Coturnix japonica: one gene and its partners. The protein of the gene in region 1 binds, or shares a complex with, the protein of each later gene. Links are inferred from orthologs where the notes say so. Each region holds a gene or a part of one and is shown in the gene's direction. Other genes may lie near its edges. The genes, in order: INTS4, INTS11, INTS2, INTS7, INTS6, INTS12 and INTS1.

What was found.
Region 2: the proteins of INTS4 (region 1) and INTS11 are in contact, whole or in part, in a cryo-EM structure (PDB 7BFP), measured with the Homo sapiens proteins. The link is inferred for Coturnix japonica from reciprocal best matches to the Homo sapiens genes INTS4 and INTS11. Residues at the interface, in NP_291025.3 of Homo sapiens: Leu159, Asp161, Thr162, Arg167, Tyr203, Gln207, Asp244, Ser292, Gly294, Trp296, Arg299, Lys323, Met326, Ser327, Asp328; in NP_060341.2 of Homo sapiens: Pro183, Trp191, Lys194, Asp212, Gln288, Gln400, Gln404, Lys462, Met465, Ala466, Leu469.
Region 3: INTS4 (region 1) and INTS2 share a complex: the UniProt entries of both Homo sapiens proteins name them as parts of the integrator complex. The link is inferred for Coturnix japonica from reciprocal best matches to the Homo sapiens genes INTS4 and INTS2.
Region 4: the proteins of INTS4 (region 1) and INTS7 are in contact, whole or in part, in a cryo-EM structure (PDB 8RC4), measured with the Homo sapiens proteins. The link is inferred for Coturnix japonica from reciprocal best matches to the Homo sapiens genes INTS4 and INTS7. Residues at the interface, in NP_291025.3 of Homo sapiens: Glu536, Met539, Asp540, Arg571, His572, Ala574, Tyr575, Asp578, Ser579, Ser610, Phe613, Arg620, Leu624, Leu627, Gly631, Glu634, Leu635, Phe638, Arg641, Asp642, Arg645, Leu646, Glu648, Leu649, Gln650, Lys677, Leu678, Trp679, Asn680, Val681; in NP_056249.1 of Homo sapiens: Lys137, Asn138, His140, His141, Arg144, Gln145, Gly175, His205, His206, Asp207, Ala208, Ser244, Ser245, Leu246, Val247, Lys282, Thr283, Pro284, His285, Thr286, Thr321, Ile322, Lys325, His326, Gly686, Tyr689, Glu704, Gln707, Gln708, Leu711.
Region 5: INTS4 (region 1) and INTS6 share a complex: the UniProt entries of both Homo sapiens proteins name them as parts of the integrator complex. The link is inferred for Coturnix japonica from reciprocal best matches to the Homo sapiens genes INTS4 and INTS6.
Region 6: INTS4 (region 1) and INTS12 share a complex: the UniProt entries of both Homo sapiens proteins name them as parts of the integrator complex. The link is inferred for Coturnix japonica from reciprocal best matches to the Homo sapiens genes INTS4 and INTS12.
Region 7: INTS4 (region 1) and INTS1 share a complex: the UniProt entries of both Homo sapiens proteins name them as parts of the integrator complex. The link is inferred for Coturnix japonica from reciprocal best matches to the Homo sapiens genes INTS4 and INTS1.

Annotation. Positions count from the first base shown.
Region 1 is NC_029516.1:172,699,846-172,703,345, forward strand, and holds part of INTS4 (integrator complex subunit 4), read left to right. Parts: intron 1-414; coding exon 415-495; intron 496-2,389; coding exon 2,390-2,520; intron 2,521-3,014; coding exon 3,015-3,074; intron 3,075-3,500. UniProt on the Homo sapiens protein: Component of the integrator complex, a multiprotein complex that terminates RNA polymerase II (Pol II) transcription in the promoter-proximal region of genes.
Region 2 is NC_029536.1:1,973,058-1,977,223, forward strand, and holds the start of INTS11 (integrator complex subunit 11), read left to right. Parts: upstream 1-1,366; 5' UTR 1,367-1,456; coding exon 1,457-1,484; intron 1,485-1,565; coding exon 1,566-1,663; intron 1,664-2,139; coding exon 2,140-2,213; intron 2,214-2,384; coding exon 2,385-2,613; intron 2,614-2,716; coding exon 2,717-2,815; intron 2,816-2,913; coding exon 2,914-2,948; intron 2,949-3,559; coding exon 3,560-3,698; intron 3,699-3,826; coding exon 3,827-3,891; intron 3,892-4,166. Other genes in the region: CPTP (ceramide-1-phosphate transfer protein), read right to left, coding at 140-662, 1,203-1,324.
Region 3 is NC_029534.1:6,219,743-6,223,888, forward strand, and holds the start of INTS2 (integrator complex subunit 2), read left to right. Parts: upstream 1-1,346; 5' UTR 1,347-1,384; coding exon 1,385-1,677; intron 1,678-1,822; coding exon 1,823-1,961; intron 1,962-2,643; coding exon 2,644-2,746; intron 2,747-3,001; coding exon 3,002-3,115; intron 3,116-3,715; coding exon 3,716-3,846; intron 3,847-3,952; coding exon 3,953-4,126; intron 4,127-4,146. UniProt on the Homo sapiens protein: Component of the integrator complex, a multiprotein complex that terminates RNA polymerase II (Pol II) transcription in the promoter-proximal region of genes.
Region 4 is NC_029518.1:19,466,274-19,469,773, forward strand, and holds part of INTS7 (integrator complex subunit 7), read left to right. Parts: intron 1-1,049; coding exon 1,050-1,153; intron 1,154-1,527; coding exon 1,528-1,596; intron 1,597-2,686; coding exon 2,687-2,819; intron 2,820-3,500. UniProt on the Homo sapiens protein: Component of the integrator complex, a multiprotein complex that terminates RNA polymerase II (Pol II) transcription in the promoter-proximal region of genes.
Region 5 is NC_029516.1:152,175,915-152,179,866, reverse strand, and holds the start of INTS6 (integrator complex subunit 6), read left to right. Parts: upstream 1-1,152; 5' UTR 1,153-1,550; coding exon 1,551-1,661; intron 1,662-1,862; coding exon 1,863-1,940; intron 1,941-2,553; coding exon 2,554-2,703; intron 2,704-3,952. UniProt on the Homo sapiens protein: Component of the integrator complex, a multiprotein complex that terminates RNA polymerase II (Pol II) transcription in the promoter-proximal region of genes.
Region 6 is NC_029519.1:34,243,870-34,247,880, forward strand, and holds the start of INTS12 (integrator complex subunit 12), read left to right. Parts: upstream 1-1,211; 5' UTR 1,212-1,296; coding exon 1,297-1,423; intron 1,424-2,720; exon of another isoform or gene 2,721-2,837; intron 2,838-3,834; exon of another isoform or gene 3,835-3,939; intron 3,940-4,011. UniProt on the Homo sapiens protein: Component of the integrator complex, a multiprotein complex that terminates RNA polymerase II (Pol II) transcription in the promoter-proximal region of genes.
Region 7 is NC_029529.1:2,677,159-2,681,377, reverse strand, and holds the start of INTS1 (integrator complex subunit 1), read left to right. Parts: upstream 1-1,419; 5' UTR 1,420-1,492; coding exon 1,493-1,928; intron 1,929-2,506; coding exon 2,507-2,703; intron 2,704-2,956; coding exon 2,957-3,094; intron 3,095-3,183; coding exon 3,184-3,343; intron 3,344-3,462; coding exon 3,463-3,568; intron 3,569-3,822; coding exon 3,823-4,009; intron 4,010-4,109; coding exon 4,110-4,219. Other genes in the region: lysosomal alpha-glucosidase, read left to right, coding at 147-209. UniProt on the Homo sapiens protein: Component of the integrator complex, a multiprotein complex that terminates RNA polymerase II (Pol II) transcription in the promoter-proximal region of genes.

The DNA of each region.
Region 1 (3,500 bases):
ACAGTTATTGTTTCCAGTATTCCAGTTCCATGGCTGCAGTCTGAGGATGCCCTGCTCTTAGCCTCAAGGATGTGATGATTGGTTATAATTTCTCTGATCACTGACTATATTCTGCATACGGTTATCCTTAAATACTGAAGAATTTGCAGCTTAGCCAGTCTCTCATTCATAGCTTTGTTAACATTATTCCCAATGCTGTGTAGGATGTTTATATAGCAGTGTGTAGTTTGTAAGCTGTGGTTTCCCATACTGTTTAAAAGCAAGTAGAAACCTTTGGCCTGCTCTCTCAGGCAACCTGTTGGCATATAACAGAGAGGGCATGCTCCCAAGCCCTGTTTATCTTGCACAGTGTTAGAGCGCTCAGACAGAAATGGTTATTTATCATCCCTTTTTTTTAATGGTTTCCTTCTGCAGGCCTTGCAGGAGAAGCTGTGGAACGTGGCAGCTCCTTTGTACCTGAAACAGAACGCGTTAGCATCTGCTGCAGCAAAACAGGTGAGGCTGAAGCACCTGAAGGCGAGTCCTTGGATTCCAATTTCCATGGCCTTGCAGTACTGATGTGTTTCTGACTTTCTGCTGTAGCCTGTCCAAGCAAATCTTAGTTCCCCAAAGTGAAGCAATTTCTTTCAGCTTCAAAAGATCAAATGAAGTGGAGATTGAGGGAGATTTAGGACTGCAGGAAAAGGGCAAACATCCCATGTATCTTCCAGAATAATAAGAAAGGAGATTGGAGAACAGTGGACTGTTGGCCTCTGGGGAACTCTATGGAGTAAGTCCTCTTAAAAGCCATTTTTGAGCAAATGAAGGTCAAGGAAGTGATTGAGATCAGCCAAAATGCATTTCGAAGGGTGAATTATGCCTGACCAACCTTACTGCTTTCCAAAGTGAGGGCACTGGTGTTGCAGACATAAGACATGTCACAAAGCCTGACTTTTTCAAACCCTTTAACACAATCTCCCATTACTTATTACCAAAATGGCAAGATCCCACATCTGTAAGTGGATCATAACATGGATGGAAGATTGGCCAGACTGCCTGGCTTAAAGCACTGGAAATACTGGCACAGAGAACAGAGTGCCCTTCACAACCCTGTGGATAAAACTGAGTTGAGGAGCTGGTCAGTAGGGGAGATCACATCTAGAGGGGAGTTGTGCTTGTCTCTGTGCAAGGAAGGTACTGCTGAACTGCAGTGAATTGAGCAGGGGACCCTCAGGGTGGCTGAGGAGTGGAGCACTTCTCCTGCAAGAAGAAGCTGAGGGCTCTGGGCTTATTCAGCCTGGAGAAGGTTCTAGGCTGATTTACTGCTCTATGCCACTTCCTTATCTGAGGATATAGATCACATAAAGACAGACTCTTAGATGTGCTGCTGTGGGACAAGAAGTGATGGATACAAATTGGAATACGAGAAATTCTGAGTAAATGTAAGGTAGCAAAAATTGTCGTGATTATTGGTAAGCACTAAAATGGATTTGCCAGACTGTTAGTGGGGAATCTTCATCTTTGGGATTGTTCACAGAACACGTGGCTAACTGGGCTAATTAGGCCTGCCTCGAGGAGGGACAGTGGTAGATGAGCTCCATAAGTCCCACTCAAGCCAGGTTATTCTTGCTCTCTAACATTTGATTGACTGATCCTGGAAAAACAAAGCTAAACACTTCCTTTTTTTTAAATAAAGAAATGAGAAAGCGAGCTTTAAATAATCTGGATTTAGGGTGAAAGCAAGTTTGTGGATCTGCTGGGAAGCCATGCTGACATTTTGAGCCTCCAGTTAATTAAAATGTATTAAGAGGCAGCTACTGCTGTGCATCAAACCCTTCTCTGCTGTTGACATCTTGTCCCTAGAGACAAGTAGATACAAAAGCCTATCAGCTTCTTAAATCTTCTCTAATTGAACTGTCTTTCTTGGGTGCCTTTCTTAGTAGTATGTGAGCCCGCTGGGAAGGCTTATCTGTTTTGATTGTGAATGTAGAACACTTTCCATCAGAGTAAGGTGAGGGGATCTTTATCAAATAGAGTCCTTCCTTCTGTGTGGTTACACTGAATGCAGCAGTGTTCATTTCAGCATTTTTCTTGTCTACTTAAGCCCATCTATTCAGCAGATACAGTGCTATAATAAGTAAAACTGCAGCATGCCGTCTAAGCTTTTAACTGTGTCAAAAATAACGCAGGAGGATGCTCATCTTGTGATGGTTCCCGTCTCTATCTGCAGCATATGAAGCGTTGTTGAATGTGAAGTTGTTTCTGTCTAGTATAGCTCTGAAACAACCTGAGCAGAGCCACTGGGGCTGCTGTGCTGTGCTGCTTGGTTTGTATTCCAGAGCAGCCAGCAGGAGTCGGTGAGTGCTCCAGCCCAGAATGGTTTGTTACCCACGTGTTGTTTGTCTGACAGATCTTGGAAGAAACGTACAAAATGGAGTTCATGTACAGCGGTGTGGAAAGCAGACAAGTGGTCATCATTCACCACATGAGACTGCAAGCAAAAGCCTTACAGCTCATCGTGACTGCACGCACCACCAGAGGGTAAGGGTGGTGCCAAGGGTTACCTGCAAGCTTCGTATCCTCCAGCTGTGTTTTAAGAAGCAGCAAGTCTAAATTAGGCACTTAAAACACCACGATGATAACCATCTGAAGAACAAAGCTGCGTTCTTTCTTCAGTACATATAGGAGAACATAAGTATGTTTGTTGCCATTGATTTGCTGTGTTTTCATAGAGCTCCTTAAGCTCCATCTTTTTTTATAGGTGGAAAGCTTAATGTTTTCTACCAGTGGCTCTGGGAACTTAATGCCTTGTGCAAATGCAAGGGATGTATTGTGGAGGGGGTTACAGGTGTGGAGAAGATGATGACAGTCCATTTTGTCTTTCTCCTGTGGGAAATCCATTTGTGGTCTCAGATTGTCTTTAAGGTCTTACAGTTTCTAGGAGCTTGAACTGGATTTCAAAACTGAAATGTTTGTGGCTGTAGAGCCACTTTTCTTATGTTATTTTTGCATCAAGCAATGTGATCTCATTGCAGAGTGGAACCCCTTTTTGGGATGTGTGAGAAGTTCCTTCAGGAAGTAGATTCCTTTCAGAGGTGAGAAACCCCATTGCTTCTTTCTGCGTCTTTTTGCATTGAAGCTGATGATAGTTCTTCCACATGTAACCTGATAATGAATAATGCCACTGAAATGATCTTTTAAGGCTCTTGTCCCGTGGTATAAAATGAATTCTACATTCTATTCTTCACCTCTGGAGCTAGCATAGTTTTTTTATCTGATTCCAGTTTACTGTTAATATTTCACTATGCAGATGTAAGAATTAATGCTATCTTAGAAATACTGGTAGAGCAAAATCGTTCTGCAGGGAGGTCAGACGATTCACATGGCTGTATGGGGTTACGTTACGTTCTGGAGTGAGTCAGCTGTTTGCTTAGCAGGATGAAAGCGCACAGCATAAAGGATGAGGCGGATACATGTCATCCTTGAGAAGTACCCATCTCTGGAGTTATACAAGGCAGCAG
Region 2 (4,166 bases), on another chromosome or scaffold:
AGTGTGCTTGTGGACACTTAAACTCCCTGCAGTGCTGAGATGATGCTATATATATGGCAATGTATGTATTTTAGTGCATTTTCTTTTAGTCACTGAGCTCCATCAGCTTTATGGGGGTACAAGGAGCTGGGGGATGGACTCAGGGCAGGTCCAGCAGGCGGTGCTGTGCATACAGCTCCTCAGTGATGCCGTACACATCTCGGATATGGGGCAGAGCATCACCCAGCATCTCCACAGCCTCCTCGGGGCCGCCTACATTCATCACCTCTAGGAAGGCATCGCGGGATGGCAGGGTACAAAAGGCCAAGGTAGCGGCCTTACGGACGATCCAGGGATGGTAAGCGGCCAACGAGGCGTTGTAGCTGTCCGTGCAGATGGTGGAAGTGCTGGCGTCCTGCTGGGCGGTGCGAAGCCCTTCGAGGAAGAGCTGCAACCAATGCAATGCCCGGTGCAGCCGTAGGACGGTCCTACAGCCTGAATTGGGGTGGGCTGAGCGCTGTTCCAAGTCGACCAGCCCTCCGTTGAGCTCATAGCGCACCATAGATTGCATTGTACGGTATTCCTCCTTCTTCTCCCCGCCGCAATAACTCTCCATAATCTGGATTTTAGTCACCGCGTCCTTAGAGATGAACGAGAAGATGGCGCCCAGCCCGTTGAGGAAGCTGAAAAGGGGATAAACGGAGCGGTATAACACAAAGCAGCATCCTCGAGGGGCAACCTCCCCTCCCATCACAGAATCACAGAATTGTAGGGGTTGGAAGGGACCTCTAGAGATCATCGAGTCCAACCCCCCTGCTAAAGCAGGTTCCCTACAGCAGGTCACACAGGAAAGTGTCCAGGCAGATCTTGAATATCTCCAGAGAAGGAGACTCCACCACCTCTCTGTGCAGCCTGTTCCAGTGCTCCGTCACCCTCACCGTAAAGAAGTTCTTATTAAGGAACTTCTATGCTGTATTTCATCCCATTACCCCTAGTCCTATCCCTACACACTACTAAAAAGAGACCAGCCTCACCACTATGTCCCCCACCCCTCAGGTATTTATAAACCTGGATCTAATCCCCTCTCAGCCTTCTTTTCTCAAGGCTAAACAGACCCAGTTCCCAAAGTCTCTCCTCACAGGGGAGATCTTAGCCATCTTAGTGGCTCCTCTTTCCAAGAGATCCCTGTCTTTTTTTTGTACTGGGGAGCCCAGAAAACTCACCGTACGAGCCCCCTCCATCCGCGGAGATACGGGCCGAGCAGCACCTCGCGCTGCTCCGTCACGCAGCTCTGGAAGGCGGCCATCACCTCCCTCAGGCTGAACGCTCCCTGCGCCGCCGCCATCTTGTCGGCGGGAGGCGCCTCCCATGCGCTAAAGGGAAGGGCGGGATCTACCTCAGAGTGACGAGCCGTTGCAATATGGCCGTTAAAGGAACGGCTGCTCCCTTCCGAGCTTTGAGTTGAAAGAGGTTTAAAATGCCTGAAATCAAGGTGACACCGCTCGGTAAGTGGTGGATCGGAGCGTTGTGGAGCCTCAGAAAGGGGCTGGGTCGCCTCACTATGGTGTTCTATTGGGTTCCTGTAGGTGCCGGGCAGGATGTGGGGCGAAGCTGTATCCTGGTGTCCATCGCGGGGAAGAATGTGATGCTGGACTGTGGGATGCATATGGGATACAACGATGATGTGAGTGTGACACACGGTTGGGTTGTTCTCTCATAGAATCCCCAGCTGTTCCTGCACCTCTCTCTCTATGGAGAACTTCCCCTTAGCATCCGATATAAAGCTTCCCTCCTCAAGCTTAAAGCCATTCCTCCTGCCTTATCGCTATCTACCCAAGCAAAAAGTTGATTCTTCTCCTTTTTATAATCCCCTTTTAAACGTTGAAGGCCTCTCCTTGCATCTTTCTCTAGGCTGAACAAGCCCTGCTCCCTCAGCCTGTCTTTATAGGGCAGCTCATCCTTTTGACTCTTTATGTAGGTGTCCATTGCGTTGCCTGTAGTTCTTGCTGTGTTGCTCCCACAGTCTCCCCAGTTTTGCCTTGAGATGGGTTTACAGTGTCCAGTGTAGCAGGTGGTTCGTGCTGCTGGTCCATATAGTTAATGACATGGTACTAAGTAGCTTTGTTTGAGGTTGTTAACCCGTTTTCCACCTCTTTGCAGAGACGCTTTCCTGACTTTTCCTACATTACTCAGAATGGGAGGCTGACTGACTTTCTAGACTGTGTGATCATCAGGTAAGAAAGCTTCCTTCCTGATCACAACAGAGATGGGAAATCAAAGCAAGTTTTGTTTCTAAAGGGAAAAGTTCTATTTTGTGGAGTGCTTTGAAGAGGTGAATCAAGCTGTGAGAACCAGGTTATCTAAGCTGCTGTGTAATGTCTTCATCCTTTCTGTCTCTTTCGCAGCCACTTCCATCTGGACCATTGTGGAGCCCTCCCCTATTTCAGTGAGATGGTCGGCTACGATGGGCCCATTTATATGACGCATCCTACCAAGGCCATCTGTCCCATCCTCCTGGAGGACTACAGGAAAATAACTGTAGATAAAAAAGGAGAAACAAACTTCTTCACGTCCCAAATGATTAAAGACTGTATGAAAAAGGTGGTGGCTGTGCATCTTCACCAGACAGTTCAGGTAAATGAATGCTTCTGCTTGGATGGGAGCTACTGAACTGTTGAGGAAGGCAGAGCAGTTTTCTGTTTGTGAAGTGCTTACCATGGTGTTTGCTTGTGTTCAGGTGGATGAAGAGCTGGAGATCAAGGCATACTATGCAGGCCACGTGCTGGGAGCAGCCATGTTCCAAATCAAGGTTGGATGTGAGTCAGTTGTGTACACTGTAAGTATGCACAGCAGTAGTTACATATGCTTATGTTTCCTTCTAATAGCCTGTTCCATTAGCTTGAGAAAATAAACGGATTTCCCTTCCTCCCTTAGGGTGATTATAACATGACACCAGACAGACATTTAGGGTAAGTAGGAAGGCTGGGCTCCTCTGAATTGTATCTATTTCAAGCAGGGTGATTTTACCACAGCTTCTGCTCATATACCAAGGCTTACCAGCATTGGTTCTTTGTTCTTTGATGGGAGACTGGGATGCTTAATGATGTCTTTCCAGCAAAGATAAATGCAAGTGTGAATTTTGAGGAGGATCAGAGGTAAATCGAGTCCTCAGAACAGACCTTAACATAATCTTCTCTGTACTCATATTAATCCATTTGTATGGCTGCGTGGTAATTGGATTTAGGTGTTTGAAATGCTTCATTGTTGTGGTATCTTCCACAAGCATTTGCTTTTTAAGAGAGTGCCAGTCACCACCTTTAACGCTGCTTTACTTTTTTACTGGCATATATGAGAGGTTTTTAATGTTTGTGATGCTTACAAAGCATTGAAGAAAGTATTTTAAACAAATAACAGACTGAAAAGCTGCTTTTCAAAGTCCACTGAGTTGGTCTCTATTCTGAGCTGGGTTAATTCCTACCTCCACACAGAGATAGTGACCTTCTGCAGCCGAGACCTGCAGAGAAGTGATGGATACTGGCTCTTAATTTGATGACTTTAAAAAGAAATCCTTTTGTTTCAGTGCTGCCTGGATTGATAAGTGTCGCCCCGATTTATTAATAACAGAATCTACCTATGCCACAACTATCAGAGACTCCAAACGCTGCAGAGAAAGAGACTTCCTGAAGAAAGTGCATGAGACTGTAGAACGAGGAGGGAAGGTACGGCACTCTGATGATCACTGATGTGTTCTTTGCTCTCTACGAAGCTCTTATTCAGCAGTGGTAATGCTGCAGTGCTCTCTATGTGCTGTTCAGGTTTCACAGCCTAAATCATGGCTCTGTTGCAGGTTCTTATCCCAGTTTTTGCCCTTGGTCGTGCCCAGGAGCTTTGCATTTTATTGGAAACGTTCTGGTGAGTGCAGTCTCTGGTTCATGTTCCTCATCCTCTTCATGTCCTCAAGGTTTCTATGATTCTTTTCTATCTGTTTGGTACAAATACTCTCCTTAGTTTTGCTCTGCACTTTGGCCCATGGTGCTATGTGAGAAGTGATTCTTTCCATGTATCGTTTATTTATCAGCGTTTCTAAATCTAAGAAACTAAACTAAACATGTTCCTTTCTAGGATCATTCTCTCCTCCTTCCCCAAGCACTCAGTACCAGCTGTCCATTAAATAGTTCAATGGCATC
Region 3 (4,146 bases), on another chromosome or scaffold:
TGAATCAGCTGCCTAAATCGTGATACAGCCCCATTCTGTTACCTGGGCCATAACATTCCCCATGAAGCTCTCCAATTGCAAAAGCTGCCAGTTTCCCACATGATCCCCTTCCCTCTCCAGTGCAGTTAAATGATAATTAATTTAATACTGTAATCACTAAAAAAATGATGAGGGCTGTTTCTGAAGCGAGTCAAAGCCGGAGGTGTACGTATCAAAACTGCCAATGCCATAGAGCAACTACTCCATTGAACATACCTTTCCATTAGTTACTTTCATTCTTTTAAGTGCACATAATTGCTGATTTATAAATAAAGCCATTGTGAGCCAATAACTCGGGTTCTTTAGAAAGTGCAATCTTAAATATTTGAAAGCCTCATCTCTGGCTTCTTAAAGTGGTTTTGAGAAAACATGTAGTTCTGGCAGCGCTCTATTGAGTAGATGTGGAATTTCCCCTCCTATGTATCCAATGAATCCAATGGAGCTGAGATCTCCTTCCATTCCAATTGAAAATAGGTATTTAAATTGAGATCAACAGGAATCTGGTCACACAGTAATGGTCATGTAGTAATGTCTGTCTTGTTGCTGCCTGGGTCAGTTCTGAGCACACAGTGTGTCCTGCAGCCACCACTATTTGTCAGCACTGCTTCCCTTCTAAAGCAGCTCTCACGTGTCGATCTTTGTTGTTTACTTAAATAGTTAAAAATGAATCGATATTTCAACCCTCAGCACGTTCCTCCTTAGCTGTCAGCGTGGCCCACATCGCTCTATCGCTATATTTACCTCCAATGGTAATTTTAACTTCACGTGTTGCTATGAAGATGGGCTGCTGTGTTTGTTAACGCTGTGCCATCAATGTAGTTGTGTTATTTTAAAGCTTTCAATGACAGTAAGATGTGTGTTAAAGTCTGATTGCCCAGCTGCTTTGCTGCAGCACTGCAGTGATAGGGGCACGGTGCTGTATCACAGCTCTAACCAACGCCTTCTTCCTGCTTTGAAGGGCTGCGCTTCATCCTTCAGGGGCTGCTGGATTTTAGTCATTCATTGCTGTGTATGGGCTGTATTTAATTTATATGATGGGATATTTACTGCTGCGCTCCTCATGCGCTCTATTAAGGGTTGTTGGTGCAGCGCTGGTCGCTCCCAGGGCAGGTTTGTCTCGGGATGGGGGGGGGAAGGAAAGAAGGTTGATACTTTTTAAAGGCAGAAAAGAATTGCGATGGAATAAATTGCTCATAAAGCCCTGATTAATTGCGTGATCTCCTCCTCCTTGTGGGGAGCAGGGCCTGGTTGCGGCCTACACCCCACGCCCAGCCTGCCCGCCCGCACCGCGTCCGCCCTTAACGTCATCACCGCGCGCCGCAGTGGGCGTGGTGGTGGGGCCGCCATGGCGGAGTGCTCGGGGCTGCAGTCTGTCAGCCCGTTCGCCTTCGAGGCGATGCAGAAGGTGGACGTGGTGCGTCTGGCCGCGCTCAGCGACCCCGAGCTGCGGCTGCTGCTCCCCTGCCTGGTTCGCATGGCCCTGTGCGCCCCCGCGGACCAGAGCCAGAGCTGGGCCCAGGACAAGAAGCTCATCCTGCGGCTCCTCTCGGGGGTGGAGGCCGTCAACTCCATCGTGGCTCTGCTGTCCGTCGACTTCCACGCGCTGGAGCAGGACGCCAGCAAAGAGCAGCAGCTCCGGTAACGGCGGTCACGGGGCCGCTTTCCCACAGCTTTATGTTAATTATGGCTTTGTACCGTACGGTTACGATGCTGTACAAGAAATCCCTGCTGCAATGGCCGTAATTTGAATGAAATGGCATCGCTGTGTTTCGTTGTCCGGCAGGCACAAGTTGGGAGGAGGCAGCGGGGAAAGCGTCCTGGTGTCGCAGCTGCAGCACGGGCTGACGCTGGAGTTCGAGCACAGCGATTCACCCCGACGGCTCCGGCTGGTGCTCAGCGAACTGCTGGCCATCATGAACAAGGTGCGTGTGCGTGTGTGAATGAATGAACATGGTGTCTGTATGTGTCTGTATGTGTCTGTGTGTGTCTGCAGCTCCAGGCAGCGCTGGGTTTCCTGGTAGCGAAGTGAGGAGCCTGCAGGCTGCAGTTACTGCTGCTGTTGTGTCAGTGTGAATCTGGTTCTTATCCGCTTCCCCAAGGTTGAAAGATTCAGTTTGAAGTTTCAGATTTCCTTAGAGGAAACATTTCTTCCTCAGAACAAACACGGATAGTCTTTTCTGATATGACCCAAACTCAGCGTATCTCGTGATCTCTTTATTCAAATGGGATTTTGTGAGCTTTCAGTGCAGAAACCAAACCTGAAAATGAAATTCTGCCTCTTGTTTCTGTCTTATTCACCAGTTTTACTGCAGTGTGGTGTTAACCAACGCATTCCTCTTATTTTTGCTGCCTGCATTTTATTTTCCCTGTGCAAACTTCCTGTATTTCTAGAGTTGTTTTTCAGCTGGAAAGAAACAATAATGCTGGTTTTATTGGAGTACTTCTTGTAAACATTAATTACTTAAACATTCATCTCGACCATTGTGTGATTGGAACTGTCCATTCTGGGTAACTTTGATATGTTGTATCTATTGAAGTCAGTGCTGTGGAAGTCTGATCAGACAAACTTCTGGGTGCTGTTTGCTGATGTGAAATGTCTCGTAGGTGTCAGAATCAAATGGGGAGTTTTTTCTCAAGTCTTCTGAGCTCTTTGAGAGCCCCGTCTACCTGGAGGAGGCAGCGGATGTTCTCTGCATCTTGCAAGCAGGTACAGCGCCCTGTGGTACCATGTTCATTAATGCTGCTTTGCTTTCGTATCTATAACTCCTTAGAAACGTCAAAAAAAAACCAACACAAAAACCTTCTTTCTGAGCTGCTGATTTTACTATTAATCGAGGCTCTCTTTCTCTTTGAAAGGGGAATAAACCACAGACTGACACATTTGTTTACCTTCCTACTTTTGAGCACGTTTGTATTTGTTTTGTAGTGAAACTTTCTAACTGTGAGAACTCTCTTTGTCCAGAGCTGCCATCGCTGTTGCCTATAGTTGATGTAGCCGAAGCGCTGCTGCATGTGAAGAATGGAGCCTGGTTCCTCTGCCTGCTGGTGGCCAATGTTCCTGATAGCTTCAATGAGGGTGAGCTGTGGTTTCTCCTTGTATAACTTACTTTTTCTGGAGATCTGTAATAACGTTGATTCTGGGCTGTTATTTATTGTAGGTATTAGAACTGGGATATTGATGGATCTTTCCTTCTCAGTATGTCCATCCCCCTTTTTACAGCCTAATTGTAGTTATCACTGTGTGAGCATTCCTGTTTTTAGGCCAGTTTTCTAAAGGCTGATTCCAACAGCTGCTATTGGAATTATGAACCTGTTGTAGCCTTGCTGTTAGTACTGCCCCTCAGACTGAGCCATACTACAAGGTGAAACATCTGCAGTGACAATGCCTGCATACTATCTATTACCACACAATAAGGTTTCATTCTCCAGTGCTGCCAGATGCACGGCTTGCATTACGTAGAGTGTAAGCAGTGATTGGGTGATGCATAAATCTGTAAGCATTCTTAGAGAAGAAAGGAAAGACTGTTTCCTTGTTCTTTTTACTCAGTGTTGATTGCTATTTGGCGCAATCCAGCTGATAGATCACAGTGAGCTGAGCAGAACGTTTTGGCTCTGTGTGTTTGTGGCTTTCTATTGGAAAGATGAGGTTAAGTTACACCTCCTGTTGGTTGTTCAGTCTGTAGAGGTTTGATTAAGAACGGAGAACGGCAAGATGAGGAAAGCGTTGGAGGCCGTCGCAGGACAGAAGCGCTGCGTCACCTCTGTAAGATGAACCCTTCCCAGGCTCTGAGGGTGCGAGGCATGGTGGTGAGTCCGACACACATCTGTTGTGAGACAAGATCTGAGGCTTCGTTGGGGTCCTCATTGGAATGTTGCAAACAACAAAGGTGATTAATGGGGACTTTTCATCTAGGTGGAAGAGTGCCATCTACCAGGTCTTGGTGTGGCTTTGACATTGGATCACACCAAAAATGAATCTTCAGATGATGGAGTGAGCGACCTGGTGTGTTTTGTGAGCGGTTTGCTACTAGGAACAAATGCCAAAGTTCGAACTTGGTTTGGAACTTTTATCCGAAATGGCCAACAGGTGAGGCAGTCATTGAGTAA
Region 4 (3,500 bases), on another chromosome or scaffold:
CTTTGCTTCTCAGCAGATACCTCATAGGTTTAGATCAGATGTCAGGGTGAAGTTTTTCACAGAGAGGGGTGAGGCTCTGGCACAGCTGCCCAGAGAGGTTGTGGATGTACCAACCCTGGAGGTGTTCAAAGCCAGGTTGAATGGGGGGGCCCTGGGCTGTCTGAGCTGGTGCTTGATCTAGTGGTTGGCAACCCTGGCTGTGACAGGGGGGTTGGAACTCGATGATCCTCTAGGTCCCTTCCAACCCGAGCTGTTCTGTGGTATCTGGTGAAGGAAATGAAAAGCATCAGTAAGTAGTGGGCCATAGTTTTCCATTATGGCTGAACCAGGCTCTATTTTTTAGCTGTGTGTGCATGATTTTTTGCACATAAATGCATACAGTTTCCTACAATACGCAAGTAGTAACGCACTCAGTAAACTCTAATTTGCATCAAAACCTTTCCACCTTGCTTTTAAGCACCATGGACACTCTGATTATACTAGTTAAAAGGAAAAATACACTCTTAAGTATTGCTTCGTAGCTTTTTGTGGTGACTTGGTAGGGGACAGAGTACTGAGACAGTGCTTCTAAAAGCATGCCACCTATAAGAAGGAATTAGTGGGTCTTTGAAGGACAGAGCAGTTTCATTTCCCCTTTAGGGGAGAATGGAGATAGATAAAATCATAGAATGGTCTTAGCTGGAAGGAACTCATTAAGACAATCCGATTCCAACCCTTCTGGGTAGGGTTGCAACCCAGTAGACCAGGCTGCCTGGAGACCTCTCCAACCCAGGTTGTTCAAGTTAGTTTTGTTTTTAACTCAAAAAAATTGTGCTGGTTTGTTGTTGTTTGTTTGTTTTTTGTTATTGTTATTTGTTTTTTTACAGGAAGAATATCTGTTTAAATCATGGGTAATACTTTGTCACTTAGGTGCTTTTTATCCATGGAAAAAACTTTATATATCCTCAAGAGTATGTTTTATTTCTTCAGTGGTGTAGGTTAGTTTAGTGATTTTCTGGACATGGGCTGTTTTTCTTCTGTTATTTTGACTGGTGACATTGTCTCTGTAGATGAAGTTATCAATGGAGGAATTCCGGAACCTGGCTGTGCGTTATGGAGATCTGTATCAGTCATCTTTTGATGCAGACTCAGCGACTCTAAGGAATGTAGAACTGTATCCTTTTAAAAGCTCAGAATTTGTCCTCTTACAGTTTCATCAAGACAGCACGAAGTTAACGGTCCTTTCTCTAGAGAAAGCTAGCAGAGTCATTTTGAAGCAGTTAACTGCTTAAGAAGGTTGCTTAAAACCTGTTTGGAAATGGACATTGCTGTATTATTGTTCAGAATTACTCCATGAGTAAGTTAGGACTTGAAACTTACAGCAGCATAAAATGGGATTTCCATAGTTGTTCTGTTTACCAAAGGAATAGTGATAGGATTACTTCACAAAAGTTAGAGAAATAAGGAAAAGTGCTACTGAATAGTACTGTGTTTCTTGTTTTAGGAACCAAGTTTGTAAATCTCATAACTCCTTAATATTAATATCAGACAACAGCAGAGTTGCCTGTTGATTTCACATGCAATTGAAGCTCTGATTTTGGATCCAGAATCTGCGAAGTAAGTTTTAGAGTTAAATTTCTGCTCCTTTGCTTGTAGTTTCTTAACACGTGGGACTTTAGGAATTTAGGTAATGTTCAGAGAAGCTTTCCTGTGGCCCCTTACAATTCTGTTCTGGCCAGGCTGGACGACCTGTTGGTGCTGTGCTGTAGCTGACAGGCTAACCTGTACTTCAGGTTCTGCTTTATTTACTTACTATGCTCTTGAGAGCTGTACTCCTCTCATCTTAAATACAGACTTGAATTAAAATAAGAAATAACTTTCAATCTGTTGCCATGTATTTTAATGTTTGCCATTCTGTGTTAACTCTCACACTTGTAAGTGGAAGTAGTAGGTACATGTTAGTTTTCTTTGGAGTGTTGGAAATACACGCATGAGATTAGTGTAAGATTTTTAAGGTAAAATAATCGTTTCTGTCTTTTTTGTGTGTGTAAGCTTGTACATATTAGCAAAATCATGTTGAAGCAGCTGTGAATCAAATCATTCTTTAGAGGTCTGATGCTGTGATTAAAGGGAAGATAAACTCGGCTAAGCATCTTTATAATGTGTGATTCTTGTAACTGGGAATAAAACTGGGCATCCCAAATGTCCATCTACTGTTATGAATTAAGCACTATTTTGAAGATGCCTTAATCACATGTTTTCCAATTGTGTCCTTAAAAAAGTTAGGTTTCTGGGGGGTGAACTGCATTCAGAGCATTAGAGTCTAAGATTCCATGTATATTGTGAACTCTGACAGACACTGCCCATTTTTGTTGAGTTGTGAGACTTTTTTGAAGCATTCTAAGTGCTGCTGGCTGAAATAAAATTCCTCAGGGAATTAAGCACACCCGGTCTCTTAGAGCTGCAGTTGCTTCAACTGGGAAAGGATGGGAATGCAAGTGCTGGATAAGCTGGAGTTGAGAAAGGGCTTAAATGTGCGGATCAAGTCTGACTGGGAAAACAATAAATCAAACGGTTTACTCTGTTTATTTCTTAATGAATTTCAAGTTGTAACAGAGGACGGTCTTGTTGGGCATGTTTCGGAGTGAGCCTCTCGGACTGGGATGAGGAAAGTATTTTAGGCACAGCAGAGTGTTTTATTTTCTAGTTTCCAGGAATACAGTTCAAATGGAGCAGCACATGTTGAGAGTGAATATGAAAGGAGAATGATGTCTGTATTTAATCATGTACTGGAAGAAGTGGAATCCCTCAACAGGAAGTATGCTCCTGTGTCTTACTTGGCAAGTAGTAGCTTTACATATATATTCTGTAGATGAAGGTTCTAAAACCTGAGGAAATCTCAGGTGATCGAGCAACTGAAGAGCACATTTCAGTTATTCAGTGTAAGCTATTAGTGAGACAAGGAACTCAGTTCCTAAGGATATACTCTAATACTTGGAAAAAAAAAAAAAAAAAAAATACTTGGAAAAAAAAAAAAAAAAAAAGGTTTTGCTGAAACATCTCTAGCCTTACTGGCCCGATTAAAAATGTGGGTTTTAAAGTTCCTGGTATTGTGAATGTAGCAGGTGCTGATACAGTATTACTTAGTATTACCTAGTCACTGTCAAATCCCTCACTACGGTCACCTTAAAATACTGAAATACTATTTATCCATGTTGTTGTGGTGCAGGAGTTCCACCTGTGGCACACACAGTGCTGGAGGGTCCAGTGCTAGCCCAGCTTGGGTATCTGAGCTGTTGGCAGTTAGTACTGTGTGGCTGGAGTATAGTGTTTCTCTTATCAATACAGGTCATCGGAAACACAATGTAAAGTGTGCTGAATGCAAACAGGGAGCTGATAAGAGTACTCCTTTACAGTCCTAATCTGGTGTTGTCTCTTTCTGTTAGTGAAAATCATAAAGCTGAAGTGCACATTGGTGGAAACAGGGCAGTTCGCTTGTTAGGACTGGTACCTTCTTGCCT
Region 5 (3,952 bases), about 21 Mb from region 1:
CAGGTCACAGGTGCCAGTAGGAAAGGCAAAATATCTATTCACAGGCACAAGGACACACCTGTAATGAAAATGTGATTCCACCTCTGTCTTTCCAACCTTCCTAGAAACTAAATGCTAATCTTCATTAGTCTTTAAAAAAGAAAAAAAAAAAAAAAGAAGCCCAAAACAGCTCTTGCCTAACAAGACAGAAATGTTGCCTGGAAGAATGAAATGATTCAAACCAGGACGCTGCCAATTTTATCTTAAGAAGTACAGTGGCTTCGTACCTTCTAGAGAACGGCTGTGGGAGCACATCAGCTGGATCAGGGGAAAACATCAGCCAGAAAGGAAGCAGCACAATCTCCTGAACAGATAATGCTAAGAAATGGCTCTGGAGTCAGCGCTCCAAGGCTGGGAGAGCAGGAACAGCACAGACACAATTGTGGGGAAAAACAAACAGAAACCTCCAAAGGACGGAGAGCTCAATCTTCAGCATTAATTGGCTGGAAAGACTCCACAACGATGTGATTTATAGTAAATTCGGAGTGCCTGAGCACGGATCAAAGGGACACAGCAGTGTTAATCTCTGCCTGCGCGTAGGGAAAAGGTCACAGTTAAGGGCAGCCCGTTTGTTTTTTTTTAATCTTTTTTTTTTTTTCACACCAAGTGAAACTGCAGAGCGGCTCTATGGGAATTCACCACACAACCAGCCCGGCCTCGCGGTGTCCCCTCACAGCCAGCGGGGCGGTCCGTGGCTCTGAACGCCTTTAGGACCCCACCAATGCCCTCCAAAATCAGGAGAGCACCGCCCTACACGCCTCGGGAGGCGATGAGCGCTAAGCAACGCCACGGGGTACGGCAGAACGGCGGCCTCGAGGGGCTGTGGGCTGATACGGGGCTGATATGGAGTCACCCCGCCGCCCCTCACCCCACCTCCACTGCGCATGCGCGGCGGCGCCGCTCCCCCCCACCCTCTCCCACAGCGGCTCCATCCCCCCCAACCCCGCCCTCCCCCGGCGATTTGAATATGCTAATGAGCGGCCTACCGAAGCCCTATGGCGGGGCCGGGAGGCGGTCACGTGGGGCGGGGACGTGTCCTAAGGGGGCGTGTCCCGACCTGCCCAGGCGCCCTTAAAAGCGGGCGGCGAGCGAGGAAGCGCCTCAGTCAGAGAGAGAAAGTGGCGGGGTGGGCGGGCTGCGGCCGGTCCGCCTGAAACTTCTGAGTAACATCAACAGGGGGAGGGGAGGGAGGGCGGCGGTGGAGGAGGACGGTGGTGGCGGGGGGGAAGGTTAGCAGCAGCGCAGCCCTCCCCGCCGCTCCCGCAGCACCCGGCCCGTGCCGGGCTGGGCAGGCCCCTCACACAAAGGAGGGCAGGGCAGGCAGCGCTGCCCCCTTCCCCCGCCTCGGCAGAGGGGCAGCGGGAGGCCCTTCCCGTGCACAGCACTCACAGCCACTCGCTCCTCTCCCGACCCCGGCTGCCTCTCCTCCTCCTCCTCCTCCTCCCCCTGCTCTCCCGTCTCCCTCCCGCCCGCTGTCCATGTAGCCGCCCGGCCGCCGGCCCCTCCGCACTATGCCCATCTTACTCTTCCTGATAGACACGTCCGCCTCCATGAACCAGCGGGCGTACCTCGGCACCAGCTATCTGGACATAGCCAAAGGCGCTGTAGAGACTTTCATGAAGGTACCGGCGCTGCCTGGCGAGAGGAGGCGAAAGCGAGCGAGATGGGGAGGGGGCGGCGGGGGGCTGCGGGCCGGGGGCGCGGGGGCTGCGGGAGAGACCGGGAGGGGGGTCGGGGAGGGAGGGGAGGGCAGTGCCGCGCCTGGAGGGGGGAGATCCGGCACCTCCTCTCGCCTCACCCTCCGCTTTGTCCCCGCGCCGCAGCTGCGGGCCCGGGACCCGGCCAGCCGCGGCGACAGGTACATGCTGGTCACTTTCGAGGAGCCTCCCTACGCCATCAAGGTAACCCCGCTCCCCCCTCCCTCCACCGCCGCCCCCCGGCCCTCCTTCCTGCCCCGCCGCACCGCCCCTTCAGTCGGGCCGGGCCGCGCGGCGCCGCGCACGCACGGCTTCGGGCAGCGGCGGCGGCGGCGCTGACATCAACATGGCCGACATTTTTTTTTATATATCCCCCGTGTGGTGTGTGTGTGTGAGCGGCAGGAACTGTGGGGGAGGTGTGCTCAACTTGGGAGAAGTGACAGCAACTCCGAGGAGAGTTCGGCGGGGAAGGGGAGGGAGGGGAGAACCCTCCGGGGCGGGGGCTGCGGGACGCGGGGGGGTATGGGGGGTGAACCCGCTGGGCATCGCCTCTGTGGGGTCGTGAGCCCGGTGTGTAGGATTCTTAGTGTGTGTGGCTTCGTCCCTTGTAAGAAATACTCGATGAACGCAGAGCATTTCATGCTCTTTCAGTCCGTCTTTTCAGGCTCTACGAAATGCTACTGAATGCTGGTAACTTCCGAGGTGTTCGTTTAGCGTTGAAGGGAGACGCTGTAGCCAACAGAAAAGCCCGATCCCGTAGGAGGTTCCCGTCCCGAGCTCATTCCACCAATAAGCCTTCTCGCGTTTCTCTTTTCAGGCTGGCTGGAAGGAAAACCATGCGACGTTCATGAATGAACTGAAAAACCTTCAGGCTGAAGGACTTACAACTCTTGGCCAGTCCCTAAGAACAGCTTTTGATTTATTAAACTTAAATAGATTAGTAACTGGCATAGACAACTATGGGCAGGTAGGTTGACTGGTAATAGGTGGAAAAATCATAAAACACACGTTTCCCGTGGTTGCCCAAAGTAGTGTCTTCATGAAGCACTCAATACAGGGGCTTCATAAAAAGCAAGCAGAGTTCAGACAGTCTGAAGAAGTGTAGGTACTAACTACAGTTCTGTACCCAGCTATTACCTCCTATTCTCCTCATTACTCTCTTTTTAAACTACTATGTAAGCTGCAGTTGACCTTCTCAGTTAAACTTTGTAGTGTTTTTTTTTGGTGACAAATTCCAGAACCTTAACTGATGAGCCCAATGAGGCCTTCAAAACATTGATTTCTGTATATAGTGCTGTATGATCAGTTACGTACAATTTGGGAGATGGGCTATTTTGTCTGACAGCACTAAAGCACCTAAAGTGCTAAGCTGAGCACATCTCTTTTAAAGCGTTATTTTCCAGTGAGTTTACTTCAACACTTCTCTGAATACCTCTCTTTTCATATTCATGTTTATAGTAGAACCTTAGGAAGCTCTGATTTTCAAATGCTTGTATGGCAGCTGTCCCTTTAAGGCAGAACTACTACTGGGAAGGTCCAGTGTTCCCTTGCTCAGTAGTATGACTTGCTACAAGCCCTTAACTCTAGGTTAAAATATGCACTTTAAGAAGCATACCCAATTCTTTGTGGCACTGGATCAGACCCTGGATTTGTTTTGCATAGAAGATGTTACCAGTACTGGGCAAAGTATACCCTGTATCTTTCACGTGGGATGTGCTAAAGTCAATCTCCCCTTTTCGTATCTTTTCTCATGTAATGTTTCATCTGCTCTCTGAGGATTAGTTACTGCTCTTGGTATTTACCATGGGGATGTGGCTGTGAAAATAAGTCCCTGTTTTCTCCCTCCCTTTTCCCCGTCTGAGTGCGGTTTATGATAACACGCCATGTTTGTTTAGGAAGGAGGTCTATCTCATGTTGCACTGTATGGCTTGCCCACTAGGTGATTAAGTGAGTCTAAACATTTTTAGAATGCCAGTTTGGTGATGAAACTTCAAAGAAAAAAAAGCTAGTTCCACACATGGCTAGTTTTTCTTGTCTATTACCATCTGCTGTCCTCTTCTGTGTACTAATCTTTCCCATTTTCTGCCATTTTTCTTTGTTACATTAGCAATGCAAATCTTCTTGAAACATCTACCATAGCAGATACATACATGGAATACGTGCTCTTTACTGTTTCTATTGATAATGAAGAAATATGTGAAACCCGTGTCATATAA
Region 6 (4,011 bases), on another chromosome or scaffold:
TATCAGCCTGATTTGTTTTTCCTTCCACTTTGCCAGATCAGTCCTAGGTATAAATGACAATAGCCACCCTCTTCTTCCATCTATCCATTCCTTAAAGCCCCATTTAACTTGCTGCTTTTTCTCCAGCTACACAATATACTTTTTTTTTTTTTCCACATAAGATATTTCAGATGGCCAAAAAGTAGCAATTAAGTTAACTTTGTTCACAGCTATGTAATTTCAAAAGCCAAATGGCAACCTGAATAAGTCAAGTCTAGACTTGGTTTCACCACAACCGCAGAGCTCGCAACACATGGAGTAAACACATAAGAAATACTAATCTCTTACTAGACATCACAAACCTCTTTGTCACAAAAAGATCATTCACTGACTACTCCAAACACTTATCTAGGAAATTGTCTTCTCCATTCTCAGACAGACAGTGAACAAATGACACACCACCTGCTTCTGAAATCCAGTCAGTGCAGCAAGATTTGGCTCAACTGTATTAATATTAGCCTCCCACAGGACATAAAGCAAAATAAAGCTATCTGGGACCAGTCTATAGATGACTTGTGTTTCCTTAAATTATTTCTTGTGAGAATATACTCATGGCCTTCTCTCACTTCAGAGAGCTGTACTCTCACACTGCCACATCACACTCCTCTTCCATATTTTGCTTTAAAAATTTCCTCCTGACAGCTTGTTTCCTTCCACAGAGATATTCAAGACCTGTCTGGACACCAATCTGTGCAGTTTATTGTAGGGAACCTACTTAGCAGAGGGTTGGACTTGATGGTCTCTTGAGGTCTCCTCCAAACGCTGCTGTTCTGTGATAATAAAGAATGGAACTAACAAAAACATTGTGCACCCATTTAATCACAACACCTTTCCTGGCACTCGTCCTTCTCTGCTTAGCCTGCATTCTGTGAGGGTTTCTATCCTACACTGGCCTTATTAATAGTAACCACTGCTAAAAGAAGGGAAGGGAGAAATCAGCTGAACATAAATAATGAACACCACAGGTTTTGCAACATCACTTAAAGATAAATAACACGGTTTGCCTTCGGTGTGAGCCCGTGTGAGGAAGCAGCACCGAGGGGCGAACCCCCAAGGCCGCCGATCCCGCGCTCTCCCTCACACACCTCCCGCCCCGCCCACCGCCGCGCGGGCCGATAAACAGCGCCCGGTCTCCACCAGCGCTGATCGATCGAGATCCATTTCTCCCTCCCTCGGTCGCTCCTCACCACTTACCCGACCCCGCGCACGATACGTCCCGGCCGCTTCCTCCCCGGCTCCGCCTCTTACCGTGTGCCCATGCGCGTCCCGCCCGGCTCCGCCCCAGCCGCGCAGCGCTCCGCCCTCCCGCCCGCGGAGCGAGCCGGAACGGGGGCTGTGTACCGGCTGAGGGCTCTGAGCGGCGGGTATTACCGTCTCTCCTCAGGTGAGAGCGTGGCGGGAGCTTCGGGGGGTGTCGCGGTGTCGTCCCCGGCCCTGAGGGTGGGCGTTGTGGGCGCCTGTGTGTCCTCCCACGGCGGAGCTGGAAGCGGCCGTACCCGCTGTCTGAGTGGGGCCGGCGGGTGGCCCCGGTGTGAGTTAATATGTGGTACAACGGGAACAGGGCTCAGTTAAACAGGCAGCTGTGGTGTGAGGAGGAGGTGGGCTGGGGGTGAGGTGAGGGGGAGGAAAGATAAAAGGATAATAGTTACAACTATAAGTACGTATATAAGACTGTGTGTGTATATATATATGTATGTAAAAAAACAAGCAATGCACAAACAAATTGCTCACCACGTACCAATCGATGCTGTGCTAGTTTCCAAGCAGCAGCAGCAAGCCTGAAGAACTCCCACCTTTTTCAAACTTGCCTGCTGTGGAATATCCATTTGGGTCATTTGAGGTCGGCTGTTCTGGTTCTGTCCCCTTCCAGCTCCCTCTAAAGCTAAAACATAGCATCATATCAGGTACTGTGAAGGAAAATAACTGTTTCCACTGATTCTAAGACAATTAGTTTCCCTCAGAGCTCATCAGTGAGCCCTCTGTTTCTGCAACAAGGAGAAGATGCAGAAGAGGGCTGAAGCATGGGTTGATTGCCTGGTAATCCATTGACCTGGATGGACTGTGTTCTGGTGTACCATTGTGAAGCCCCTTGCTTTTGTCTATGAGAAGTCATGAGGCTGGGAGAAATCACTGGGGGCTAGAAAAAGGCAGACTACATGTCTTACATATCCCTCCTCAAAAGAGGCAGGAAGGACTATCCAGGGAAGTGCAGACTGGTTAGCCTCCCTCCTTGCATCCATGGGAAGGTTATGAAGGGAGCCAGCACAGCATGGGCAGGAGCACGTGTTGACTGGGGATAACCAGCTTGGGAATCTACCAAGGGTCAGTCATGTCTGGTCAACTGGATTATCCTTTATGGCAAAATAACTAGCTCTGAAGTTGAGGGGAGGAGTGGAGAATATCATCTGAGGAGGGTCTTGCTGTGTCCTAAATAGACGCCTTTCTGTATCTAACAGGAGATTATTGATAAAATGAAGCCTGTATTTCCTTTTATGTGAAAGCACAATCTGAAAAGGGAGGATCCAATTTGGAATAAAGAAGTGAAAGGAGACAGTGAGATCCCTGTCTGTGTATGTTTTGAAGGTCCATCTGGATGGTGTCCTCGGAAATCTTGTCTGAATTCATAGCTGATTTTTTTCTTTTTGCTTTGAGCAGGAGGTCTCTTAGAAACAAAATGCCAGTGTATTGTGGTGTAATGCAGCAGGCAGCTCAGCACCACGTAGCCACTTGTTTGCTCTCTGCATGTTGGATGGGGGAGAAAATAAGAAACTTAGAAGTATGAGAACTTCTCTTTTATGGTTAGTATGGTTTACTCGGTAAAGCAAAATCTGCATGTGCAAACAACAAGAAATTCCTTTGCTACTTCCCATTGGCAGGCAGATCACAGAATCACAGAATGGCCTGGGTTGGAAGGGACCTCAAGGATCATGTAGTTCCAACCCCCCTGCCTGGCAGGGCCACCAAACATACACATTTACTAGATCAGGTTGTCCAGGGCCATCCAACCTGGCCTTGAACACCTGCAGGGACAGGGGCATCCACAGCCTTCCTGGGCAGCAGATGTTCAGTCACTTCCAGGAAAGCAGAGGTCATCACACATAACAGTTTCTTGGGAAGGCAAACTCCATCTCTCAGAATGTCATCTGCTCTTCCTCTTCTTGTCTCCCAGTTTTCATTGCTGAGCAGGATACCATATGGTACGAGCCATCCCTCTGGCTGGTCTGGGCCAGCAGTCCTGGTTCTGTCCCCTCACAGCTCCCTGTACTCCTCCAGCCCCCTCCAGGCAGGGCAGCATCAGGAGCTGAGATGTCCTCAGCTCTGCACAGCACTGCTCATCAACAGCTAAAGCATCACTTGTCAGTACTATTTCCATTTTGAAAATAATCAAAAACACAGGACGTGGTGAGTCACCGTGAAGAAAATTAACTATATCCCAGCCAAAACCATGGTATTCTGGTTGTTGGATACTATGTTGTTTATGAGTGATAGAAAGCAGAAAATAGAAGGTGATAGGGTAATGTAGAAATGTTAGATAAGCAAGTTACTGTGATAGATTGAATTATTGATTGGAAATTATGGTATAAAATATGTTGTAGGATAGAATATAAAGTTATGGATAGTCACGTTAGTAATTATAATGGAAGAATTTACTCAGGTCTCCTGGAATTCTTTGAATTTCACATCAAGTTGTCACATAAATAAGAACTGATGAATACAGTTGTTCTGATTAATACAGTTGTCGGGACTGCTAAAGTGCCTGAGTTTTGAAATATTCCTCACAGGCGATAACTGTGAAATTGTTGTCATGAATCAAATCCTCAGTATGATACGAAAGTAAAAACTGAAAATAGAAGCTTTTCCTGCTTTCCTTGATCTGTTTCATCAAGACCTGCATTAAATGTGAGTCATCTGGAATGGGCAGTATTGGTAAATACTTGAAATCTTCCACTGTCACAGTTGTTAGGGAATGGA
Region 7 (4,219 bases), on another chromosome or scaffold:
CCTAAGGGTGCCCATCCCTCCTCTCCCAGCCCTCATTGATGGGGGGCAGGAGGGGGAGGATGGTGCTTTTGTGCCATATGTAGGGTTGAGGTCATTGCAATAAGAGCTGGAGCAGCTCAGCCATATTGTCCCCTCATGTCCTGCAGGTCCTCACCGTCAGTGGCCTCGGCCTCGTGCTCAGCCAGGGCTTCTCCCTGCAGTGGCTGTGAGCTGTGTGGGCACAGTGCTGCCCTGCCTTGCCATGACCCAATGTGCACGTTCCTGCTCCAGCCCTCAAGGCCAGGATGGTAACACGGCACCAGGGACTGTCACCTGCTGTCACCCACTGCTGCAAGGGGTGTGGGATGGGGTGGGGGCTCCATGCTACGGCATCAGTGTGGGGTGAGGGCCCCATCTGCAATAAAGGCACGTGGAGAGTTGGGTGTCTGAGTGTCTTTCTGTCAGCACATGTTCTGCAGTTCTCCACCATGCTCCCCAATCCCTTATGTCCCTAAATTCATCCTTATGTCCCACAGTTCACCCTTATATCCCCCAATTCACCCTTATATCCCTCCAGTTCACTCTTATGTCCCCCAATTCACCCCTATGTCCCCCTAGTTCACCCTAATGTCCCCCAGTTCACCCTTATGTCCCCCAGTTCACCCTTATGTCCCCCAATGCACCCTTATATCCCCCCAGTTCACTCTTACGTCCCCCAGTTCACCCTTATATACCACAATTGACCCTTATGTCTCCAAATTCACCCTTATGTCCCACAATTCACCCTTATGTCCCCCAATTCACCCCATGTCCCCCAATTCACCCTTATGTCCCATAATTCACCCTTATATCCCCCAATTCACCCTTATATCCCTCCAGTTCACTCTTATGTCCCCCAGTTCACCCTTATATACCACAATTCACCCTAATGTCCCCCAGTTCACCGTTATATACCACAATTCTCCCTAATGTCCCCCAATTCACCCTTATATACCACAATTCTCCCTAATGTCCCCAAATTCACCCTCATATACCACAATTCACCCCTATGTCCCCCTAGTTCACCCTTATATACCACAATTGACCCTTATGTCTCCAAATTCACCCTTATGTCCCACAATTCACCCTTATATCCCCAATTCACCCTCATATACCACAATTCACCCTTATGTCCCCCAATTCACCCCATGTCCCCCAATTCACCCTTATGTCCCATAATTCACCCTTATACCCCCAATTCCCCTTTATTCTTCACCACGTCCCCCTGTTCCCCACCCCCTCCATCTCCCCCCGTGCTGCAGTTCCACTTCATCCCGCAGGGCGGCGCCTCACACAGTCCCCCACCCCCGCCACTCCGCGACCTCCCACCACCAGGGGGCGCCATGTCACACCCAGTGAGGGGCCGCTCTGATACCGGCAGCGGTAGAGCTCACCTCGCTTCCGCCAGGGGGAACCTTCCGTTTCCGTGTGTGTGGGCGTTGTGCCGGTGTCGGTGCTGCCGCTGGGCGGTGCCATGAACCGACCCAAGGCCGCTGCCGTCCGGCGGCCCAGCGCCGCCCCCAAGCCGTCCGGTGAGTGCGAGACCGCGCCCGAGAGGCCGAGCCGGGGGCTGCCCCGTTTACCATCTCGGTCCCCATCACGGTTGTCGTCCGTTGCAGCTCACCCTCCGCCGGGAGATTTCATCGCTCTGGGCTCCAAGGGGCAGGGCGGGGATGGCAAGGCCGCCGTCACTCTGCTGAAGCCGGCACCCTCCGGGCTGCCCTCCGAGCGAAAACGGGACGCGGCCGCCGCTCTGTCGGGCCCCGCGGGGCTGGGCGGGCTGAGCAAGAGGCCCAAGCTGAACAACACGCCGCCGCTCAGCGCGCTGGGACGGCTGGCTGAGGCGGCTGTGGCGGAGAAGCGGGCGATATCACCCTCCATCAAAGAGCCGTCTGTCATCCCCATCGAAGGTAAGAGCAGGGTACAGCCTTGGGGCTCAGCTTACCGGGAGCCTTTCTCTAAGCTCGTGCAGTGCTGCCGTCCTTAAGGCTTTCCCCTGATAGATGTGGGGGCAAAGTCGCAGTTTCATCACCTTTTCTTCCTTGTTCGTGTTGGGTTGTGTTCATCTGGTCTGAAAAACTTAACGGGGAAAACATCACTGAGGGGCTAAAGGTGTGCAAGACCTGCCAGGTGGTTGTAGAGAGCAGTAAGGTCTCCCTCAAGCCTTGTCCAGAGTGAACAATCCAGTTCTCTTAGCCTCTCCCTTGTGTTTCACATCCTTCACAGCTTCCTTGCCCTGTTACATACATACATATTTGTATATTACATACATAGTCTTATGGACATAGTCTTATGGACATAGACATATTAGGGGTCCTGTCACATCCCACCTACAAGGGGGAAGGAAGGGATGGCGCAGTATTCAAGGTGTGGATCCATGTTTTGCTTTCCTGGGGGCTGATCCTTTGCAGCACATCAGGGCAGGTTGATCCTGGCAGGTTGTTTTGCGTGAGGGTATAAACTGGTTCCTGTGTGTTGGTTGTTGCAGTTGTTCCCACGGTGCTGCTGGATGAAATTGAGGCAGCGGAGGCTGAAGGTAACGATGACCGCATTGAGGGGGTGCTGTGTGGAGCGGCCAAGCAGCTGAAAATGAACCGAGCCAAACCTGATCCCACGCTGTACCTGAGCCTCATGTACCTGGCAAAAATCAAACCGAATATATTTGCCACTGAAGGAGTTATCGAGGTGAGGGCTGTTATGTGGGGACTCCTGGGTTTCCTATTATATGTTTCTGAAGTATAATTCTGGGGTTCCTGCCACATCATCACGCACATAGTCGCAGCTGCTGTCTGGCCAGAACACAGCTCACATGCCTTTGTAGATGCTGCACTTCTGTGGCAAGTTACTGAGATTTGTAGCTCTTTTTCTAAAGCTTTTCTATATGATTTTGGGGGTTTGTAATTTAATTCCTTTTTTTTCTCTTTATATAATCTTCCAGGCGTTGTGTAGCCTGCTCCGAAGAGATGCCTCTATTAATTTCAAAGCTAAAGGGAATAGCCTTGTGTCTGTCTTGGCCTGCAACCTTCTCATGGCAGCTTATGAAGAGGATGAGAACTGGCCGGAGATCTTTGTCAAGGTTGTTGAACAGAGGATGCTTCTGCTGAGCTGTGGCAGTGCTGGGCAAGTTGTATGTGGTTTGCATTCCTGCTGCTTTCTTTCCTGTAGGTTTACATTGAGGACTCCCTTGGAGAGCGCATCTGGGTGGACAGCCCTCACTGCAAGACATTTGTGGATAACATCCAAACAGCTTTTAACACAAAGATGCCTCCTAAGAGCATGCTCTTGCATGGGGAAGTTGGTCGTAGTGGTGGGGACATTAGTGCTGGTAAGTGGATGTCTTAGAAACAGTGGCAAGGGCTTAAAGGCAGATGTGAACAGTGTGTTACTTGATGGAGTCCTCTAGAGCAGGTCTTGGATTTCTTTCTTTGTGCTCATCTCTTGTAGGAAGTAGCCCACACCCTTCCATGACAGAGGAGGAAGACAGCCAGAGCGAGCTGCTGATTGCAGAGGAGAAAATGAGCCCAGAACAGGAGGGCCAGCTCATGCCCAGGTAAAGTGCTTTCCTTTCCATGTAACAGATCTGTCTGTGCTCACCCACTCCTGAAGTGCTGTGGCAGAGATCTCCCTCTCTGCAGGAGCTGTCCCATAACACTTGCTAGAGAACACTGAGTATCAGGAGAAATGAGTAGATTTGTTTTTGTAGTCTTTATTGTGAACAAGAAAGAATGCTGATCTCTGGACACAGTGAAGCATGCCAGAGCCGGCTTGGGAGGAAGTGAATAAAATGCAGTTTGTATGGCCCAGGTATGATGACCTTGCAGAGAGTGTGGAGGAGTATGTTCTGGACATGCTGCGGGATCAACTCAACCGGCGCCAGCCCATGGATAACGTGTCCAGAAACCTCCTTCGTCTGCTGACAGCAACTTGTGGCTACAAAGAGGTGCGACAGATGGCTGTGCAAAGGCTGGAAATGTGGCTGCAGAATCCAAAGGTAAGGATGGAGGCTGCTGGACTTGAAATTCAGCCAGGAAGGCGAGTTACATTTCTGATCTGTGTTGGCCAGTGGCTGCAGTTTTCCTGTTCTTCTGCAGTTGACCAAACCAGCGCAGGACTTGCTGATGTCTGTTTGTATGAACTGCAACACTCACAGCTCAGAAGACATGGAAGTTATCTCCAACCTGATCAAAATTCGTCTCAAGCC